2 linked regions of the Diceros bicornis minor genome follow. The protein of the gene in region 1 interacts with the protein of each later gene in a biochemical or structural test. Links are inferred from orthologs where the notes say so. Each region holds a gene or a part of one and is shown on either strand. Other genes may lie near its edges.

Region 1 (7,512 bases):
CTAACCTCTCTCCTTGTCTCCCCTAGGATCAGCTTTGTTTTCTTGGGCGCATATATTTTCTTGCATTTTTAATTTGTCCCTTTCCACAAGCTCAGTCTACAGACATATCTTTCTATTCCCAGCCCTACCCTATCCCCCACCCCAGCTACCATTTGAGTACTTTCTCTTCATTGTCATATTTCTTGAAAAAGTGGTGTATGCTAACTACCTGCCTCTTTTTACTCACTTTCTATTCACTTCTCACTCACTTGAACTATGGTTTCCACTCCCTCTTCTCTCCTTAGATTTGCTCATCCTTATCTCTAAACATATGATACTGTTGCCCAAACTCTTTTATCTTAAAACTCCTTTGCGTCCATTGCCCTACTCTTTCCAGGTTGCCTCTTCCTTCTTCCATAATCTGAAACAGGCGTTTCTTGAGGCATTCTTTGTGTCCTTTTTCTTTTCTCTTTTAACTTTGTTGCTGTCATTTTCTGCAACCACAAGTCTCTTGCAGTTGATGCACAAGTTTAGGTCTAGGTGCCAACCTCTCTTTTGGGCAGATGTCCCATGATTTCATATACTTTAATAAGTATTTTTACCTGGCTGTCCCACCAACAATCCAACAACTGAACTTCAGCTGAACAAATCTGAACTTCCAGTTAGCACCTGTCTCTGTTATCGATATCATCCAAAAGCCTTTGACATCACAGCTTTCTTTTATTCCATATGCAATTATGTAGCAGGCCTTGTTGATTATTCTGGCACAACAATATTTGGGGCAATCATTTCTTTTTCAGTTTCATTGACCTATGTCAAGTCCTTGTAATTTCTCTCCTGGATTTCTGCAGTAGCTGTTTACCTAAGCGAATTTCCTGCTTCTAGTCTCTCCCCTCCCCAAAATAACCTGAATCAGTGTTCCTTAAAATTTTAACCTCCAGGAGTAAGGTTTCCAAATAAAAGATGAATAATTTTTTAGTATAAATATTTCCTATGCAATATTTGGAACATACTTACACTAAAAAATTCTTTGTTGTTTATCTGAAGTTCAAGTTGACTGGCCAACCTATATTTTTATTTGCTAAATCTGGCAACTCTATCTGGAGACACAATAAAACTGGCACATCCTCAGACCATCATTTTAAGTAATTAAAAAAACTGGCTTACTGTAATGATTAAGGTAACAGAAAAATTTGTAATAGTTTAAAAATTAATACTAGGAATAGTAACTGTTTAATATTGGTAAGCTGAAAACATGTGCAATAGGTCAGGCTTAATAATTGACTTAATTTTTATTTATACTAAAATTAGAAACTCTGAATTCGCAATGAGTTTGTCAGATATTGTAATGAGTGTTTGATGGCTACCAGATAATTCTGAATAACATGGATCTAGTATCATGGAGAGTTTCTTTCTTTTTTTTTTTTAAACACTCTGCTTTTATTTATTTATTATTATTTTTTATTATTTTTCCCCCAAAGCCCCAGTAGATAGTTGTATGTCATAGCTGCACATCCTTCTAGTTGCTGTATGTGGGACGCGGCCTCAGCATGGCTGGAGAAGCTGTGCGTCGGTGTGCGCCCAGGATCCGAACCCGGGCCGCCAGCAGCAGAGCGCACGCACTTAACTGCTAAGCCACGGGGCTGGCCCTCATGGAGAGTTTCTAATCGAAGACAGTTTTCAGTAGTTTGTCAGATTCTAAGTAGAAGAGCTTATAGCAACTTCAAAAGTTGAATGTTTCAACCTGGGAGAGAGCAGGAGTTCCACTCAGCCGCATGGTCTGCATTCAGCTCTGAAAAGCATTTTTTCCTACTCAGTTGCAACATTTGGATGTTGGTTTAAAATATATTTAATAATGTGTCATCCATTTCTTTCTCTGATGAAGAAAGGAAATTATCATGTATTGGGAAATAACAAACTCTTGGCAGTCAAGGCATTTGCATAACAGTCTGTTTTTCTTACACAATCCTGATACTTTGTTCTCAAGATTAAAAATCATGGCATTTAGAACTTGAAGTAATAAGTTCAGGTTAATAAAAATAATGAAAATATTGCTCAGATAAGCCATTTGAGCAAGCCTAATTGAAAAATAAAAATGGTTTTTGTTAGTATTATCTGTATAGTAAAGAAGGAAGTTTTACTTCAGCCCTTATTAAAAAACTTGTGGGAGCACCTTCCCCATTACTGGCCTCCATACTTCATCAAGGAAAAAGCAGTCTTCTAACATTTGTCTATTTCTTCTCAAAGATTATGCTTACTGGCTGCTATTTAACTATATTTATACTTTGTACTAATTTTTCCTATGTTGAATCAGAATCAGGAGAAATATTGTTTGATATCAACTTTTCTCTGAATAAAACAGAAAGTGGACTGATATTTTGTTTCTTGCAGGAATAACGTCCTTTCTACACCCGAAGCTACAACTCCCATAAGTTTTGATCCCGAGATACCTTTTTCAGATTCTCTCATCCCTCACAAAATAATTATTTTTTAAATGAAAATTTTTCTACATGAAAATGTCTTCTTCTGTAACTTGAATTTTTAATGATAAAACAAATAGGAAGTTTCTGGGCATTTTTCCTTATGTACCACATATATATATTGTGAAATGATTCATAATGTGTACATCAGTGGTGTCCACTTGTAAGGTAAACATCCGTTGGCAAGGACAAGGCTGATATTGCCCTTTCTTGTTGTATACCATGATTCTGTGTGATATTTGATTAGGGATTTCTGCCAAAAGCTTGTTATACTTTCTCCAAGCAAAATATTTTTTATTAACTTGGTAGCTAGTTGTACAAGCATCTCTAAAACAAAACGACTTTTACCAATTTTTAAATGAGGGATATAACTTGATCTTTTTTATCCACATATTCATCCATTTCATACTAGAAAACATTATTTTGCATTTATTCTGGAAAAATAGACTTTACTTGACAGCGAGGTTATTGTATCTGGTTAAAAAATGACTTGAAAGCTTTGATGGCTTTCCAAGTCACTGTTTGACAAAATTTCCTAATAGTCAAGGTGCAGCAGGCAAGGGACAAATAGATTGCTGGCCCAATAAAATCCAATTTTTAGATATTCATAGTTGTACTTCCTATTTACATTTTTATTTATGTTTTTGCTGCTTGGATGAACTTATTACATTTACAGGCACATAATTCATATTCTATATCTGCACTGCAGTGTTGTTTAGTAGCTAGCTACTTTTACTACATAATTTGGAATTGAAGTACTTAGTACTTTTTTCACTACTTCTTATGCTTCAATGTACTTCTTTGAGTGGATGATTTTTCTTTTTCCTGAAATGGTAATACAACATAACAAAACGGTAACAAAGAAAAATTTAATTTTAACAAATGTAAACAATAATATACAAATTATGTGAAAATACCTCTGTTGAGATAAACTGTACTGGTAACTAAATGAGGGAAATGGATCAATGTAATCTTTTAGTACACATACAACCTATAAGAACACAAAGATGCTCAATTTCTAAGATTGTAATTAAATTTATATTAAACAACTTGTGAAAGACATATAATGCTAAAACTGTAGTGCTAGAACAGGGGGATGGGTGGAACATGTTCCCAGAGTGAGACTCCTCGGGTTTGCCTCCCGCACCACTAACCAGTTGAGTATCCCTTGCTTAACCTCTTTGCTTCTGCTTCCTTTTCTGCAAAATGGAAATAGAATCTACCTCACAGTGTTGTTATGAGAATTAAATGAGTAAATACATAAAGCAGTTTGGACAGTGTCTGGCCTGAAGTGCTCAATGCTTCCTATATTAGAAAATAAATCTGTGCAGTCCTCACCCTATCACTTCTCTATTAAAAACCCATCATTAGGTCCCTATCATTGACCAAAGGAAGTTATCCCACTCTTAATCAAAATATCTTCTTCATACATCGCCTCCTATTTTGGCTGTCAGTATCTCCCTCGCCAGACCGTAAGAGCCCAGATCCTCTTCCACTATCAGTTCCGTGGCAGGCATTCAAAAATTAGTTATCGAACTTTTTTCACGAGGGACAAAGGTCCTTAAAAAAGGAAAGAACTCTAGAAGCGATTACAAATCACCATGTGAAGTTTACGCATTAGAGCACTTAAAGAGGATTTACAAAACAAATTGTCTGCAGACTGGCCAACCACGCGAATCCACCACCAAGCCAAGCTTTTTAGTAAAATTGTTTCTCACTGACGTCACTCTATCATTGACCTCTGACGCACAGGAGGCGGGATTATGGAGACAGCTGGACTTCTTCCTGCTCCTCCCTCCTCCACCGGACCGGCTGGCGCAGTGGCCAGCCTGCCTCTGGTCGATTTGGTGTTTCCATTGGTCAGTTTCCCAGAGGAGGCTGGCTGTGGGGCTGACTCCGCCCCCCTGTGGGCGGGGTCTCTCCGCTAAAGGGGCTGGGGACGGTGGGGGGGGTTGCTGTAGCCGCCATCTTGGATTCCGCGGTAGCGGTGGCGGCAGTAGGGCGCCGCGTCTGGGGAGTGGCTCTCCCCTCCCCCTCCCCCCGGGTTCGGTGGCGGCGGCCCCTCCCCCTGGGGGGGTGGTGCGACGGCGGTGGCATCTACGGCCATGGCGGCGACTGCTGCTAACCCCGGTAAGGAGACGGAGGACTGGGGTGCCTCTAAAGGAGGACGTGCCGAGGGGGTTGGCAACTCAGGAGACCAGGGCTGAGGGGCCGTAGTTGGGGCTGAGGGCGCTGGGACGCGCGGGGGTGGCGAGGGGGCGGTGGGGGAGGGGAGTGACCTGAGGGAGGGGCCGGACTCTGGGGAACTGGAGAGACCCGAGGTGGAGGGAGGGAGCGGGCGGGTGGGAGTTGGGGGTTCCGTGCCGCGAGTTCTGTTGGAGCGGCTGCCCGCGCTGCGCTGGCCCGCCTCCACTCTTCTGGCAGCGTTCTGGTGTGCGATGTGGTCCTGTTTCAACCCTCTGCCCACTGGAGCTGCTTGATGCCGAATAACTGTGGGCAGAGTGGCTCGTTTCACTTTAAAAGTAGTTTGGATTCATAAACACCGGACCACGTTGCTATTTAGCGGAGGTGTTACTTCCAATCGTTTAAATATTTAGACTTTAAGTTAAAAAAATCTTTGAATATATACTCACCGTTTCTCTAGGCTATGCCTCCCCCCCCCACCTCCCTCCTCTTAATCCCGGGCTATACTTTGAAACTTGAGTTTATGTATTGAGGTGCCTCTAGTGCCTTTAGCTGCTGAGGGCCGAGGTTTGTGTAATGGTTGAGGTTCAGGACCGGTCTTGCCAACAGCAAGCATCCAGAAAACCAGGTTTAAATCTTGTTAGGTGTGGGTTGAGGCACTTCCCATTCTTTAAGAAAAGTTCAGTTCCATGCCATTTCTCAATGAACCATCTCTTCAAAAGGGAGTGCTTGAACATTTCAAAAAAATTTAGCCAGTCATGTCTAAGAGATGGAATGGGGTGTAGTGCAGCAGGTCTAGACAGATAGGTCTTCAAATTCCTAGTCCCAGTCCTTTTCCCACTATATTACAGTTACTTCTCCTTGGGAAGTATTTCATTTTAGGGGTCCTAGTTTACCTTGGTGACGTTGGCCATTCTCTTGCAAAATAGAATGCTTTCCCAGAAATCCATTTCTTTGATAGCCTTACAAAAGAAATGAATTTCGAGGTGGGGGCGAATTTCTTGAAAATACAGCAGTGGCCTGGAGGAATTCACTGCTGTTCCGACGTTGAAATTTAAGTTGGATTTTTTTTCCGTGTCTCTGAAAGGCAGTATTATTTTGCAATAGCCAGATTTTGCTGTTACAGTTGAATCACTGTGAAATTTATTGTCCTTCCTACTGTGTTTCTGGGAACAGACCTATTTAAAGAAGTTAATTTGTCACGTGGCGATATCATATTTTTAAATCGTTTTAGTTTTTTTAGAGGAAAAGGAGATAAAATTAATTGCTAAAATTCTATTGCAGGAAGTGCTGAGTGATGGAATAAAATTGGAAAGATGCTATTATTATGGCAGACCTGACTGTGTAGTAAAATAACCTGTTAACTAGGGAGTAAATAAACAAGATTTTAAACTGACAACACATTGCAAAACACTTATATAACCCTAGTCAAGTTGCAAAGTATTTCTCTTATTAAGAGGTGGCCTGCGTAAACAAGTTTAGTGCATATGTCAGAAGCTTTTTCCAGCAGTGTGGGTGGGGTTGCTTTATTTTGTTTTGCTTTTTAAACAACAGTAACCAGAATGACAGTGTCTTGACCACATTTTCATTAGCTGATCAATATCAGCTAAATCTGTAAGCAGAAAATAGCATTTATTTGTGTAGAATACTTGCTAATGAAACAGTTGATTTTGTTTGTTGTCCTTTAGCAGCCTGCTTCTGCGATTTCTAGATTTCTTTTTTGATGTTGAAAAATTCTTCCATCTCTTCCAAGTTATTGATCCCACATTCAACACATGATGATTAAATCAGAAAATGTATTTTCTTCCTTCATTTCTCCTTTTACCCCTTTATATCAGAAGGAGGAGATCATAGATGTATTGTGGACTTTTAGTAGCCTGTTGCATTTTGGGAAATGAGGACCATGACTGGAGAGACACAGGGTGGAAATGTACTGTGCTCAGTGAAAAGAAAGTAAATGGTTTTCAGGTCAGAATTCTGTTGCATGGTCAAACCTTCTTTCCTTAAAGCTATTTTGGGTGCTAGGGACATCTTACCTATTTCTTTGAGTTTTTTCTAATTTCTTTTTCTGGTTGTTAAGTTTCCCTACAGTTCTGTCTTCAGATATGTCTGCAAAGGATTTTTGTAGTCTCTAAGCTTCATTTGAGTTAATCGTTAGCGTTAATGACAATGCTTGATGATTGTGTTAATTGTACTCAGAATATGATTTAGAGACCATGGGTGGCCCTTCAGTGTCTTGCAGGGGATCTGGTTCCTTTGCATTTTTCACTGTGTCTTAACATGGTGCTGGGTCAAAAGAAGAGTAAGACATGGTTTATACTGTACCCTCCAAGAGTTATGTTGAAGTAATAGTTCTAATGTGATGATGGCTTTTTTTCTGTATGAATTGGTAATTCTTAATATTCTATTATTTTTCTCTAATTCTACTTACCATTGGCAAGTAGAAGTGGATGGGTAGATGGTCCATGAAGTCTTAGGCTGTATCTTTCTTGTTTATGGAATACTAACGATTTTGAGGAACACTTTTTAAATTGCACGTGTGATTTGTAATGCATTGGCTAAGGCGCTGGTTGGGAAGAGGTTGGGTATTTGATTTATAATTCAATATTCAAACCAGAGCTGTGAAGGAGTTTGTAGGTGGGTAGGTTTTTCCTCTCTTGATTCTGGTGTTCTCATTAGTGGAGATCTCTTTTTGTGCTATTAGGGACCATTTATTGTGGATGGAGAATGTGGTAGAAGGCAAAGAAAGGAACACTATTTGGGTTTGTAAGGCTGACATTTAGGAAAATTTTTCTTTTCACACAATTTTCACCTATATAAATTATAGTTTTAAAAGCATCAATTAACAAAATTCTTTATTTTATTTTAT
Region 2 (7,216 bases), on another chromosome or scaffold:
ACCCGCTAGCCCGTCCTTCCTTTGGTAGGAGGTGAGATTAGCTGCCCTCTACAGTTCTTTCCATCTCTAAATCCCTGATTCTGTGATAATCCCATGATTCTATGTCTGCTGAGCCCTGTTGAATGTATTTCTTATTTTATTTATTTGCACTTATTTTTCTTTGTCCTCTATGCCTAACTTTTACGCTTCTGAGCCCACTATCTTCTTCCAAATCTCCATCCCCCTGGCTCCTCCCTTTGGTTTTCCATCTTCCCTCGTACCTTGGAACTGGACACTGGCATGGACGGGGGAACCATCAGCTGCACTTTCAGGCACAGAAGACCACACAAATGTGTGGTAATCCCGAACACAGGCAGCCTCCACCTGTGAGAGCCCAAAGTGGGAGAGCGGTATGGCAGTGGAACTACCAGCTGCAGATGGCAGAAAGGGCTGAGGGAGTTAATGGCAGGATAGGATGGTGTTATGGTGGCAAGGATGATGAGAGACAGAGAAAGTGGAGGAACACTAATGTGTCAGGAGAGAGCAAGGCTAAGACGAGGAGAAGATGGCCTCTGTCATCTGTGACATCTTTCTCCCTACTTCTCTATCAACATGAGGCTGAGAATCCAAGAACCTAGTCATTCCCCTTATTCTGACCAACCCATGGCCCATGAACCTGAGCCAATAGGGGTTCCAGGGATACCTTGAAGATGCCAATCCAGTCGCTGGCACTGGGCATGGTGCCTGGGGGAAGGGTGTAGTGACATTCCACCTTGGTGTTGGGGATGTAGGTCCGGGCTACGTTCAGAAAGTTGACTCCACCCCGGGACGGTGCCCGGCTTAGTGACGATTCTTCCATCCTGCCCTTGAGATATCTGCCCTCCTATGAAACAAAGGGTTAATATCCTAAAGTCTCTCCACTCCATCTCTTTCTTCCCTAACTCCATCCTCACCCACCCACAGCCCTGCCACTACACCTGGAGATGAAGGCATATCTGCTTTCCAGCCCCTGAGGGTTACAGGAATCTTTAGAGGTATCATCCTTAGTCTCCAGGACAGAGGTCTGGTCTTCTGAGTCAGTTCCCACCCTGTCTCACTGCACCCTCTCTGAGTCACAGACTCTTCCTAGAGTTAAGATCTCTCTAATTTCTGCTCCCTTTTCATAGCCCCATTGACCAAGTCTCAGTGTCTCAGGCTCTGCCCCGCTCAGTCCCTCCTTTTCCACCTCTTAATGTCCTTCTTAATAGCCTCCATCTCCCTGTCCCATCCCCCACATCTTTTGGCTCTTGAATTCAAAATCCAACTGAGGTGTGGGGCCCCTTCATTCTGAGCAGATCTCCTCGCCCACTCCAGCTGTACCCAGGAATGACTTATGACACCTGAAAACAGCAACAACCTCTGAAAGCAATGATTGAGTCTTCAGAGCAGGAATATGGCTGGGGGGACAAGAGCCCAATCTTCAGGCCCCTGAGCTGTCTGTCCTCTCCCTCTTTCTGAGCTGTCTACCCCCATGAATAAAAAAAGGCTTCTGTTCTTATCCAAGACACAAAGGGAAAGGGAGGATATAAAGAAAGACAGGTCCTGTCCCTCAACTTCATTACTCCAGGAAGTCAAGAATTCTGGAGGCGGCTGCTTCAAGGGTGGAGTGCAACACTCCGCAGGAACGTGGTGCTGTGGGGCGATGGAATGTGGGGGCCTGGAGCCAGGAAAGCCCTGCCCCTGGCCAGGGGACAGACTGGAAGGTGGGAAGTAAGAGGCTCTGAGAAGGGAAAAATGTATATATAGTGTTGAGAGAAGGAGGAGAGAGTTCAAAAAAAACCTAACATTCTTCTCTTCAGGTCTTGCCTGGAGCAAGACTAGAAACCTACTGGTTTGACTGTATGTTAACCCAGCCCTAGTATTTCCCTCCCCATTTTCTCTCTCCTTCTCTTGGCCTCAATTCCAAGTGCCTGAATCCTTCCATCTGCTTGGATTGGTAGTGGGAGGCATGCTATAGGATGGGATTGAGAGGGAGAGGTGTCCCAAACTGGGTGGGGAGAGTTAATTGGAAAATCTGGGGGTGGGTGAGGAAAGATAACAATAACAATCAAGAGAACTCCTCAGCCCAGAGTTGTGAGATGGCCCTCTCATCTCTCCTCTCCAGCCCCCTAACCTTCACCCTGTGTCAGCAGCACCTGACAGTGTCCAATCAGCCATGGCCACTAGTCATGTGCATGCCCCCAAACATCACAAACCCACACCACGCTGAAGTCAGGGGGGCAGGAACTTTAAAAGAAGACAGAAACTCAGTACAGAAGGAAAGGTGGGCAAGCTCTGCAAAAAGGAGTAACATCTCCCTCCAAAATAGAGACTGACTTGAGGACAAGAGATTTCTTTGGCTTTTCATTTCTCTGAAAAATCCCTAGTTAAAACTAGTGCATGTTTTCTCCAAATACGATTCTTCTGGCTTTCTAAAGGAATGACTTGTCCCCAAAGATCTAAGCCGGGGGAACCCCAAATATGCCCCACAAATAAAATCCATAACAGCTGGAAACATTCCCCAGGCCTGAAAGAAAGCTCTGGGCACCTAAAGTGTATGTGTGTGGTGAGATTCAGGTGTTCAGAGGAAAGGGGTCCCATCCCCCCACTCTGTAGGACTCTAAAGTTCCTTGACATTCTACAGCTTGGAATGTTTTTTCTCCAGGGATTCAGCGTAGTAAAGGCCTTCGGATGGGGTACGGGAGGTAAGGGGAAAGGGAAGGTTTGTGGTGGCCAACCCGTGCCTGGGAGAAAATGAACAAAGATTTCACCTCCCCCCAACTCCCCTGAGCGTATCAAGCTTTACAGAGAAGGACTGAGAGGTACGTGAGAACAGCGAGGGGGCAACCCCCTGATCAGGGCCCCCCTGAGGCCAAGAACTCCCCAAAACAGTAGTGGTGGCTTCTCCAGTACGGAAAGTGTTAAAACCCAAACGCTCCTCTATCCCCCTTCTACAGCTCCCTTAGATTATCCTTTCACAGACTGGAAAGCGGGGTGACCCCCCATAAGATCACCCCCAAATTAGGCCAAGTTTCTTACCCCTCAGACGGATCAGCTGTTCCCTCACCTTTCACCAACAACAAAAACAGCACTCCGACTCGGGGTGGGGAGGGAGAAGAGTGGGCGCGAGGGCTTCTGGGGTTTGTGGTTCCTCTGCGTCCTTTTGCCGGCGAGCCTGCTCGGATCTGGGACTACGCAACCCAGGAGGCTGTGCGCAAGGAGGGCGGAGCAGAGGGCGGCCGTGGAGGCGGCCTCACCACGGCATCCTGGGAGGCGTAGTTCTCACTTCCGTGATGGTAAACGAGGGTATGTCCACCAAAGGACTTCACGGCCCATGATTCCTTAGGAGAGGGCCGGCTGTATTAGTGGTGACTACTGGTTTGTAACGTGCGTGGTTGGGGGGTGGGGAGGAGTTACGGCTCTAACGCCTCCTGTGCGTGTAGCGCTTTGCAGGGGGCGGAGCGTGTTCGGCTTCACGCTCCCGTTTACTTTTCGCAACAACGTGTGAGGTTGGTAATACGCATTTTACGGATGAAGAAACTAAAGCTCAGAACGGTTAAGGCAGCAGTCTCAAGTAGCAAAGCTGTAAGATGGTGGAACTCCATCTGTAAGATGGTAGAACTTTGCCGCTACCATTGAGGGGACGGGGAACTGATGGCTGCGCTAGCAGTTTCTTCTTTGCGTCAACCTCAGGGACAGCCCCTGTAAAAACTGTGTGTTGTGTACTGCTGGCTATTTTTTTTCCAACTTGAGAGTTTCAGTGCCAGGGACCTGGACTGGGCTGCCGTAGTGTGGTCTCTAGGTCGAGGAAGAGGATCCATTGTCTGAAGTGTGTGTGTAGGGGGAGGTGAAGTAAGAACGAAGCTGAAAGGGGAGCCTGGCATAGTTCAGGGCCGGTCACAGCTCACCAACAAGCCACTTACAGGGGCTGGTTTGCCCAAGCCTTTTAACTGGCTTAAGCTAATCAGGATAACAATACATGTTGTTGCTCTTGTTTTTATCGGGTGTGTGTGTGTGTGTGTGTGTGTGTGTGTGTGAAAGATTCATACTCTTCCCATACCCCAAGTCACCGTTAAACACTGGGGCATCATGCCCCACCCCTCCTTCCCTGGGACCTTCCAGATCGTCTGAGGCTTTTGAAACCATCTCTCTCCCTGTCCTTGTATTAAGGAATTACAGTCTAAGGATTGATTTGCTCTTCCTGGTACCTGCTTTAATTCCCTGCTGCACTAAGTTATGGAGCCTCTGCCTTTCCCATGTTTTTTGGTAGTATTTTGCTTTTATGACTGAATAGGGTGTCTTGTGCCTGCCCTTGGGTCCCTTTCATCTGAAGATCTCCAAGCACTTAACAATAAGTCACTGGGCTTCACAAACATTAAGGTGACATGTCTGTGTCATTAGTCAGGATTTATGAGTTAGAAAACAGGCTGCTGGGGGAGGAGACGGCTCAAGGTCTAGAGTGGGTTAAGAGTGAGGCTCGTTCAGGGAGGCAAGTCTCAAGTGTTCTTGGTTTTTGTCTTCCACCCAGAATAAAAGCTTGGAAGAAAACTCAGTCTCAGCTGGAGCTAAAAATAATAACAACTTCCATTTACTGGGTGCTTATAATGTGTTTAAACTATGCTAAGAATTTTTCCATTTGACACAACAACCTTATATAGTAGGCCCTATTATTATCCCCATTTTACATATGATGAAGATTGAGGTGCAGACAATTAAGTGACTTAACTAGGGTCATCCAACTAGTAAGTGGTAGAATCAGGATTCAAGCACAACTAGTCAATACACCATACTCCCACCCCAGAAACTCCTGGTATGTGATACTAACACTGATTGTTCTAAGGAACAGTGCTATTAATTAATAAGGGGACGAATGTTCCCTTGCATTTATGTGCAAGGCACAAGTTGATGTGAAACAGATTCATTGAACAAATACATGTGTCAGGCACTATGCTAGGTATTCAATACAGTTTGCTGAAAGAATGAATATAAAATATAGATATTTGAAGGATGGATTAGATTTGGATAGTTTGGCAGGACAACGTCTAGGAAGGATAAGCTCATTTCAGGCTGAAGCAAAGGTTCACAGGTTTACTGGAGGCTAGGAGGTCACATAAGAACAGGGCATCATGGGGCCGGCCCGGTGGCCTAGCGGTTGGGTGTGCACGCTCTGCTACTGGTGGCGCAGGTTTGGATCCCGGGCGCGCACTGACGCACTGCCTCTCCGGCCATGCTGAGGCCGTGTCCCACGTACAGCAACTAGAAGGATATGTAACTATGACTTGCGACTATCTACTGGGGCTTTGAGGAGAAAGGAAAAAAAAAAAGAACAGTGCATCAATTTCAACTTTTTTTTCTTTCAAATTCAGATTATTGGTAATGACTGCCCAATGTTGTGTTGAGAAGGATTCTGAGGCAAGAGTGCTGGGATTAATTAGTAATGTCTGTCATGTACTCCAGATGGAAGATGGCAGTTGTAGTAGATTGATTTATTGTTTGAAAGTGTTTACTTTCTCCTTCCCTGCCCGTTGCCACGTGTCTTGCAGTATCTTCTGTAGAAGGAGTATATGTCTCATTTCATTGACTTTGAACTTGATCATGTTTCATATTTTGACCAATGAGATGTGAACAGATGTGACTCATGCCATGTCTGAGCATGTGAGTTTCCTTTTCTTGTTCTCTCCATTAGAATGGGCCTATTTCACATGAGAGTTGCTCCTTCTGCCTGTGTCCTGGAATGAGAAGAGCCGTGGAGCAGAGCTGCAGCCTGCCCACAGCCTACGTACACGAAAGTCAGAAATAAACCGTGTTGCTGTAAGCCACTGAGATTTGGGGTTGATGTTGCAGCAAAGCTGACTCATAGCCATACCTGGTTAATGGTGTCAAGGTTGAAAGGTAAGTGGTATCAGGTTTGAAAGGTAAGTTTCAGCTAGAGTGTGGAGAATCTTGAATGCCAAGCAAGGCAGAGCCTGCCATGTGTTTATCAGAATCTCTTTCCTTCTTTTTCTTGGACACACAGCTGGACTGCATTTTTCAGTTTCCCTTTAAGTGACATGTTCCACTTCCAGGCCTGGCCCATGAAACCTCCCAAGGGAGATCCTTCATGTCCTTTCCTTTTTGGCTTGATGTGTATGATCTTAAGCATAGTGACCTTGAAAGTACAAATGTTAAAGATGTGGGGACAGAGGTTAGAAGGAACCGAGTTCTCTGAATCACCACTTGGCAGAGAATGGCCCGCTAATCAGGAACATGCGTTTTGGACTTCACTTAACTAATAAATCAATTTCTGTTTTGCTACACCACTAAAGTTTTGGGCCGTATAGTAGCTAGTGTTTTTCTAACCACTAATACATCAGGTTATAATGTTTGGACTTCATTCGCATCAAGAATAGGGAGTTAGCCACTGACAATTTTTTTTAACAGGGGGACTAATACTGTGAATACCCGTGGAAGTGACAGTTATTGGGATTACAGAATACTTCTGAGTGAGGTTGTGAGATCTTGGGACTGTTGGTGTTTTCAGATTACAGAGAACTCCTGACTGGGGCTGGGGAAGATTGAAATGATCTTTGAAAGGCTCTCTAGAGGCGTGGAAGGAGCTGCTACAAAATGAATCCTATCTTCCTGAAGTTTAAAGTCTCTTTTCTCCTTTGTGAAAGGCCTAACTCTGGTATTGCTTCTCTAGCCCAGTGCCTGATATATAATACATGGTGAAGGGAAGCTGGTCCTGGACTCGTGGAATGCTTTGAGGAGCTACCACTAGCTGAGTGTCCCCTATATGAGAGGCTCTTTCACCCATCAAACCATCACACCACCACGCAAGGTGCTCTCAAATGTTTCAGACGAAGAAACTGAAACTCTCAGGGTAACTTGCCCAAGGTCTCTCAGACCAAACTTATTCTGAAACCCATGTCTTTTCCAATATAACAAGATGCTTTTGCAGAAAATCATAATGGCTAGTGTTTACTGAGTGCATGCCGTGTACCAGGCACTCTGCTGGGTGCTTTCAAACATGCAGAAGCAGCTGGTGTGTCAGATATTGTAGGCTGTTACTAGTGTTTCCAAACTGTGGGCTCTGTGGGAAGTAGGTGTCAGAGTCTGCTCGGGCTGCCATAACAAAATGCCATAGGCTGGGTGGCACAAACAACAGTAATTTATTTCTCACAGTTCTTGAGGCTGGAAAGTCCAAGATCAAGGTGCTAGCTGAATCAGTTCCTGATGA

Evidence for each region.
Region 2: the proteins of ARNT (region 1) and CALCOCO1 form a complex in vitro, tested with the Homo sapiens proteins (2 studies listed by BioGRID, with this or other methods). The link is inferred for Diceros bicornis minor from reciprocal best matches to the Homo sapiens genes ARNT and CALCOCO1.

Annotation. Positions count from the first base shown.
Region 1 is NC_080743.1:55,242,970-55,250,481, reverse strand, and holds the start of ARNT (aryl hydrocarbon receptor nuclear translocator), read left to right. Parts: upstream 1-4,465; 5' UTR 4,466-4,564; coding exon 4,565-4,589; intron 4,590-7,512. UniProt on the Homo sapiens protein: Required for activity of the AHR. Upon ligand binding, AHR translocates into the nucleus, where it heterodimerizes with ARNT and induces transcription by binding to xenobiotic response elements (XRE).
Region 2 is NC_080756.1:16,604,624-16,611,839, reverse strand, and holds the start of CALCOCO1 (calcium-binding and coiled-coil domain-containing protein 1), read right to left. Parts: upstream 3,108-7,216; 5' UTR 3,037-3,107; intron 863-3,036; 5' UTR 839-862; coding exon 683-838; intron 364-682; coding exon 261-363; intron 1-260. UniProt on the Homo sapiens protein: Functions as a coactivator for aryl hydrocarbon and nuclear receptors (NR). Recruited to promoters through its contact with the N-terminal basic helix-loop-helix-Per-Arnt-Sim (PAS) domain of transcription factors or coactivators, such as NCOA2.